2 linked regions of the Anolis sagrei genome follow. The protein of the gene in region 2 interacts with the protein of the main gene of each other region in a pairwise test. Links are inferred from orthologs where the notes say so. Each region holds a gene or a part of one and is shown on either strand. Other genes may lie near its edges.

Evidence for each region.
Region 1: the proteins of AGR2 (region 2) and FABP2 interact in binary tests that used the Homo sapiens proteins (3 or more experiments, as listed by UniProt). The two-hybrid records come from large-scale screens. The link is inferred for Anolis sagrei from reciprocal best matches to the Homo sapiens genes AGR2 and FABP2.

What each region holds. Positions count from the first base shown.
Region 1 is NC_090025.1:35,489,084-35,493,011, forward strand, and holds the start of FABP2 (fatty acid-binding protein, intestinal), read right to left. Parts: upstream 3,034-3,928; 5' UTR 2,921-3,033; coding exon 2,854-2,920; intron 896-2,853; coding exon 723-895; intron 591-722; coding exon 483-590; intron 1-482. UniProt on the Homo sapiens protein: FABPs are thought to play a role in the intracellular transport of long-chain fatty acids and their acyl-CoA esters. FABP2 is probably involved in triglyceride-rich lipoprotein synthesis.
Region 2 is NC_090026.1:96,009,378-96,013,305, forward strand, and holds the start of AGR2 (anterior gradient protein 2 homolog), read left to right. Parts: upstream 1-1,197; 5' UTR 1,198-1,289; intron 1,290-3,928. UniProt on the Homo sapiens protein: Required for MUC2 post-transcriptional synthesis and secretion. May play a role in the production of mucus by intestinal cells. Proto-oncogene that may play a role in cell migration, cell differentiation and cell growth. Promotes cell adhesion.

The sequences.
Region 1 (3,928 bases), on a different chromosome or scaffold from region 2:
TTATAGTTCACCTACAATCAAAAAGCATTCTGAACCCCAGTAATGATAGAGTTGGGCCAGACTTCCCACAGAGAACTCCAATAACCAACAGAGGGTTATTGTAGATTTTTCAGGCTATATGGCCATGTTCCAGAAGCATTCTCTCCTGACATTTCACCTGCATCTATGGCAGGCATCCTCAGAGATTGTGAAATGCTTTGTTTTCTGATGCCCTTTGGCAACCCCTCTGATGACCCCTCACAATCCTCCCCACAGGGGTCCCAACCTCCAGGTTGAGAAACCTGAAATCAGTAAACAACATAGGCTTGGATAGGAAAATGCCAGCCAATCTTGCCTTCTTTTTATATACCCAATTCCACTCTGTATTTATGAGGCAGTATGAAGGAATAAGGGTTTAAGAATATTACACTCATTCTTTGTCAAGAAACAAGTGTGATTTTTTTTAAATGAACAGATCTATCAATTGTTTCTGATGAACTTACCTGTATCATTTCATTTCCTACAATTTCTCTCAGTGCTAAAAGTTCCTTCCCATTATCTTTGCGTTTGAATGTCCCAACCAGTTTACCATCTTTCACGTCCCAGTTGCCCTGTAACATGAACAAAGACAAAAGCATTCTTAATATGCCAGTAAGCAAAACACAGGAATCACTTTTATTTGTATCCTCTTAACAGCAGATTTTTCAAGCAAGACCAGACCATCATAGACGAGGCTTTTTTACCTGAAGTTCAGTTCCATCTGCCAAGCTATAGTCAAAGGTCTCTCCCAAATTGAACACTATTTCTATGGTACGGAAATTGCTGGACTCCTTGATTATAAATGTGTTTCCTTCTTGTTGGATTGTGAGCTTCAGATTGTCATGAGCTCCTAGCTTTCTCTTCACTAAATTAATACCTAGGAAGGTACATGAAAAAGCAAGTTAAGCACACAGCGAAAGGATTTTCTGTTCTGTAAAAAAGCATTTTCAAAATAACAGAAGTGGCTGATATTATAATTGTAAATACAGGTAAAGGTTTCCCTTAACATTAAGTCTAGTCATCTCAGACTCTGGGGGTTGGTGCTCATCTGCATTTCTAAGCCAAAGAGCAGGTGTTGTCCCTAGACACCTCCAAGATTATGTGGCCGGCATGACTGCATGGAGTGCTGTTACCTTCCCACAGAAGCAGCACCTATTGATCTACTCACATTTGCATGTTTTCGAACTGCTAGGTTGACAGAAGCTGGGCCTAACAGCGGGAGCTCACCCCGCTCCCCAGATTCAAACTGCCAACATTTCAGCTAGCAAGTTCAGCAGCTCAGCAGTTTAGCCTGCTGCGCCACTAGGTGGTCTGATTGTAATTGTAATGACTGGAAAAAATGAAATAGTTTCTGGGAGACACAGATTTAAACCCATATGATGAAGTTCACCACACACACGACTCTAGAACTATTGCAATCATTCAGACTAATTTCTTTTGTGAGGTTGTCGTGAGGATATAATATCATGTCTGTCTGTTATGAGGAGATTTTACATGTTATTTTGAGATAGTTATTGAAAGAGAATAATAAACATAAAATTGGATCCAGCCATGATTCAAGGATAAACCCATTGAAACTAATTATTGACATACTGTCGTAACATATCTAGTGGTATGTTTGTCTGTTTGTCTGTTTTTGTGTTCGTTCGTATTGTCCTAGTGCACCAAACACCTCTTTCCTTTCAGCTCTCCTTAGAGCACTATATTCTAAATAAACATATTTAAAAAAAAAAGAAACTAATAAGACAAGTTGGTTGTGAGTCCGTTGATTTTAGGGGAGTGTTGCATTTTGCTTTCTTATTGTTCTCTCTATAATTCTAAACAGCTTGGCAAAATCTTGAAAAATTATCACAGTTTTTATTGCTTGAAGGTACTAGAACATGCATGGGCCAACTTTGGCCCTCCAGGTGTTTTGGACTGGCGGTAGGCTGTTAGGAATTGTGGGAGTTGAAGTCCAAAACACATGGAGGGCCAAAGTTGGCCCATGCCTGTTCTAGTACCTTCAAGCAATAAAAACTGATAATTTTTCATCTTAGAAAATATTATGAAATGAATAGAATCACCATAAGTTGACAAGCAACTTGAAGACACATGTACACAGAGGATCCAGACCCTACAAAATCAATTGACTCGCAACCAACTTGTCCTATGGGTTTATTCTTGAAGGAAGGCTGGATCCAAGTTTCTGTTTCCTTAACACTTAAAGTGACAAGGGCTGGTCTCTTTCAGTTGCAGGTCTCAACTGAAGCAGATTGTTTAATCAAGGGCTGAATCAACTCTTATGTAAATCCCATTATATTTTGAGGAAAAACCAGTTTGGAGAGCAAAGAAATAAGATTTAGAATGCAATGTTAGTAGTTTCCATGAGGACAAGAAAGTAGAATGTCAGGGACTAACCTTGTGAATTAAATGAAGTAACCACGAGCCCTTTCACACTACACAGTTATACAATCGTCATTTCATTTTTAACTGCTTTGCATTTTTTTTAATCATGTCAGAAGCGACTTAAGAAACTGCAAGTGGCTTCTGGTGTGAGAGAATTGACCGTCTGCAAAGACGTTGCCCAGGGGACGCCTGTATGTGTTACCAGGCGTCTCTCACTGCTTTGGTAACATCTATTGATTTCTGAAATTTGCATTTTAGGGCAGGCCATTCAGAATTCTCAATCAGAAAGCTCTCCAAAGTACAATCTCCAGCCTCTTATAGGATGTGCCTGTGGCATTTAAACTGGAATCATAGCACTATATGTGTAGTGTGAAAGAACCTCCAGATCTTTCCAACGCAATGATATAGTACATGGCTGCTGATAGGAAGCAAAAAGAATGCATATCTCACCCATTACTTCCATAAACTTCTCATAGTTTTCACTCTTCTCCACTTTCCAGGTGCCATCAAATGCCATGACTGCCAGCTGTGATAGGGAAGATTCAAGCAGACGTGATTTTATTTTCTGTACAATCAGGGTTATACTACAGCTTTGTCCAGAAATATATGCCTTCTCTTATCTTGAAAGCAATTCACACACCGATGTGGCTGACTAAAGTGCAATTAGTCACATGACGCTATACAGTAAATCTCCTTTATTGATTCTGAGTTTTCCCTTTGAGTAAAGCCTGCAAAGCCTGTGGAGTTATTTGTCAGGATTTTGTTGAAGGTAACTGTGATTAATGAATTTACTGTCACCACAAGGGCAGCTTAGACTAACAGATTGAGGCCCCTTCCACACAGCTGAATAAGATCCCACATTATCTGTTTTGAACTGGATTATATGGCAATGTGGACTCAGATAATCCAGTTCAAAGCAGATATTGTGGGATTTTCTGCCTTGATATTCTGGATTATATGGCTATGTGGAAGGGTCCTCAGTTGGTTCTTGGGTGAAAAGAACCAACCAGGGTTGTGCCGTGGCTTCACTGAAACTCTATTTATTCCAACAAGCGAGCAATTATTATTAGTAGTAATATTAGTTGTAGTAGCAGTAGTGTCTTTTCTCAGCAAGCTGAAAAAAAAACAAACAAATATTGGCTTACACAAAGAACACAGATTTGCCTCTATTCTGTCCTTCCAGATTTTGTAGGAAGGTGCCCCTTTCTTCAAGTTACAAATCTACAAATGAGGATGGGAAACTAGACTATTTCCTGGCCATGTTTACCCTGGAAGATGTCTGATAGGTTTCCTCCCCCCCCCCCCCCCCAGACCTGAAGTTTGTGCCTCTTGTATTTTGATTCCTTCAGTTTTGAAATGCAAAATACCTGTTGTGAAAGTGAACAGAGGTTAGCCAAGGCAAACAAGACCAGCTTGTCCTGAACAGAGAGCCAGCTGTTATTGTGTCTCGGTTCACAGGGGCAAAAGAGACTGACCTGAGAGCAGGCTTTTCTATATTATGATCTTTTCGAACTTTGCCACTGCA
Region 2 (3,928 bases):
CATACTCAGTTTTAGAAGAAGGCAATGGCAAGCTTCCTCTGAATAAATCTTGTCAAGAAAACCCAATGATATGGTTGGCAGAGGTTGAAGTATAATTAGAGGGACATGAACAACAGCAAGAGTCATGCCAAGCTAGGCATGTTTGTGAGATGCAATGTTACACTGGAAAGGCATAAAAGGAGAATTTGTTGAAAGAAGAGCTAATTGTGGCCCCTTCTAACTCTATGATTTTGATTAGCTACCAATCAAATTAATTGGGGATACATGGGAAATCAATTGGACTGCAAAGAATGACATCCCAATTAATAAGATCAAAGGGGACTGTGAGGAATATAGACTGCATGGCTCTGTACCCAGTTTGGCATGTAATGAGGTTGTTACGCAGCTGCTTGATCCTTTTAGAGGCTCTATCATGACATAGTAAATGTGGGTGGACTAGTCACAATGTGAAACAATCAAAATGTGACAACCTCTTCATAGGTCGTGCAATGCATCTTCTCAACAGGTCAAGCATGTTGACCTTTCATCAATCCATGTGGTATGGCATTATTGAAAGGACAGAGCATCCCTAGCATAAACCTTCACTTTGCAATCTGTGCAGCATCTCTTAGTAACGTTGCTAGGAAACCGCCACTATTTCAAGCACAGCACTGGCTTTACAGTGAAAGCATGTAAAAACAGTTTTGAAGATGTATATTTTCACACAGTTTCAAAAACCTGAGTGCAGTTTACAGCTATTTTGACAAGTTGGTTCATTTAATTTGGAACCTGCTTGTGTTTTCATAGCCATTTTCCATACATTGGTGTATTGTCATGCACTAAACAATTACCACGTTCACTCTGAATCTATGTCTGAATAGTCAATTTCATTTTCTCAAAGGAATCACAGATATGTGCCTTAGGTGAAAGAATCTATCCAATCACACAAAGACAAATCAGCCCTCAGGCAAATCAGAAGTCTTGATTTATGCTTACCTGGACTTGGCTTCTTGCCCACATTTTAAAATATAATTTCTTAAACCTTCTTAAATGCACAGAAAGTTTACTTTTCTGAAACACTGAGATGATGCTATTCTTTGTTCAATTCTCTGAAAACTTCTTATTTTTTAAATATATCTATAAATTAAAATGAAAAAGTTACTCCATACAGTGGAAGTATTGAAATGCCATACTTCTGGGTGGGGATAAGGTGTGCCCAGGTACATAAATAGGCACTCCACACTTTCCTTGTTCACACTGAAACTTGGAGCACTTCAGCTGTCCCTCAAAGAAGAAGGCAGGCAGAAAAGGTAAGGCTAACAGCACATGCTTGGCAAAGGACTGGGTTTTAAACTCTAATCTTGTGAGTCAGGTTCCTTTTTAACCACCTGCAAACAAAAGACTTGAGAAGTTTTAAGCATTTAAAAGCAGTAGAATTCCAATCGAAAAGAATACAAACAAGGCAATGCTAATTTTCCCCTGCACTTCCATGTTCTGCTAACTATATTTATGATGAGAAAAATGCATTTAGCTTTATAAACAAGTGTAATGCATTTTAAAGGACAGAATATTTGTTGATTTTTACTTTCCATTTTCTATTCACTAGTCTTTAGTGTCTTTTCTTTCTTTCTTTTTGACTTCCTGCTTGGCAACTGGAGGGTTTCTTTCATTTTTGTGAAGATGCATTTTCTTATGTTCATTGATATAGCTTCAATTCACTTTTCTGAGAAAGTGCCAGGAACACATTGCTCTCTCTCTCTCCCCCTCCCTGCCTCCCTTCATCCCTCTCTCTGTCTTTCTATGTATCTGTAAATACACCTTCTGGGATTTCTGTCTACATATTCTTTTTACCCTTTCTCACATGTGAATGTTTCAAATGGCTATTATAATAGTGTTGCGAAAAGACTTGTGCTGAGCAATATTAACCCAACCCACCCCCCAATAACTTAAAATACCTACAGTCACACACACAACCCTTGTAACTTGCATTAACAACTCCTCCCAAAATTCCCATGTTGAATTTCCCTGTATCTCATGAAAAAACAAAATCCTGGTCATGTTTACTCAATTGTGTCCTATGGCATTTATTCTAAAACAAATTTAGTATATCTGTTTAAACACAAAATTGATCTCAAATTTATCTAGAAATTTGATCCTTTGATTAGCAGTCAAAACTTAATTCTGAATTAGTGTGATTAGGATTTAGCTTTACTTGAAGGGAACCCAGTTGGGGTGGGGGTGACCATTCAAGGGAACCTCAGGAAGATGGATAATTTGATATATCAGCCATGCCCATTCCACTGAAGGAAGGGAACTGTTGGATACAATCCACTGAACCCAGATAATGGCAATCCCATTCATTTTCCATGGATCTATTATAAATATGACTAGGTTTGTGCTTTAAATGGGTTTAAAATTGGAGTTTTGACAATAATGTCATCATCATTTGTTTCCAAACAGTTCTAGAATTCACCACTTTGAGTCCCCCTACGGGTGAGAAAAGCGGTATAGAAAAACTGTAAATAAATAATAGAATGCCTAATGAAGTATTTGTTATTGTAGGGTATGTATTGTTGAAGGGTACCTTCAAGACAACCCTAAACCAAACTATATATAACAGGATTATCTTCGGGGGGGGGGGTACCATTGGCTTCTTCTGAGGGTGCTGCAAGTGATACATTCTCAGGTAATAGTGTAAAAGTAAACACATATAGGATTATTCTGCTAAAGTATGCTCACATTTTGAGAGCTTTTGGGGTTTTTTCTGATTTCAAAAGCTATGATGTTTTACTATAGTGTGGTATTATTTAGCTAACTCAAGAGAGCAGTTCTATTGATCAGAATGTAGTAGGCTGACCTTTCTGCCACCCTTGTACTAGTGATGTCCATCCAGTGTAACATTCAAAAGCATAATCCTTGTCTTAATTCCTCCTAACAGTGGGGATGACTGGCAGGAGTCTGATGCCTCCTTATTGACATTAGAACAGATCTTCATTGCTCACAATGACTTCCTATTAAAGTAGGATTGGGAAACTTTTGTAATCCCTAACTATTCCTACACCACTGTCTTGATCATGAGTACATAGGGATCATGAAGACAAATCAGTTACAGATATGCAACTCAAAGTTGTGCATTTTTTTATTTCAACCTCTGTTAAGGCAAAATTTATTTAGTTAAGAAGATGCTCATATGCCCAATTTAAGAACCTTTTACCATTCAAGGTTTTGTTGCCATCAGATTTTAATATGATTGTGAATTGTTCGGAATTATATATTCATGTGTTAAGCAATAGTCACATCTGCAAACTCCACTATCTAACTTCTCTTTTGCATTAGCTAAATAATGCCACACTATAGAAAAACATCATAGCTTTTTAAATAGTTCAGAAAAAAACTTTAAAAAGTGGGTTGTTGTAGGTTTTTCAGGCTGTATGGCCATGTTCTAGAAGCATTCTCTCCTGACATTTTGCCTGCATCTGTGGCAAGCATCCTCAGAGGTTTCCGCAAATGTTGTCATCCTCACAACCTCTGAGGATGCTTGCCATAGATGTGGGTAAAACATCAGGAGAGAATGCTCCTGGAACATGGCCATACAGTCCAGAAAACTCACAACAACCCAGTGATTCTGGCCATGAAAGCCTTAAAAAAATCTCTCAAAATGTCAGCATATTCTAGCAAAATAGTCCTATGTGTCTTTACTTTTACGCTATTACCTGTGAAATAAGACTCCAATAATAGCTGTAAGACTTCATTATGGGTAGCCACATATAAGTTTATGTTATATATAGCTCATGACATACATTTGTTATCTTTTATCCATTGCACCTGAGATGGAACAAAGCAATTTTGTGCTAGCATTTGTGATTTAATCCACTAGAGCTGAAGGTTTGTTCTATTTTACTGTTGTTGTTTTTCTAGCACTTTTTGGTTTCTGTCTGAATAAACCTAT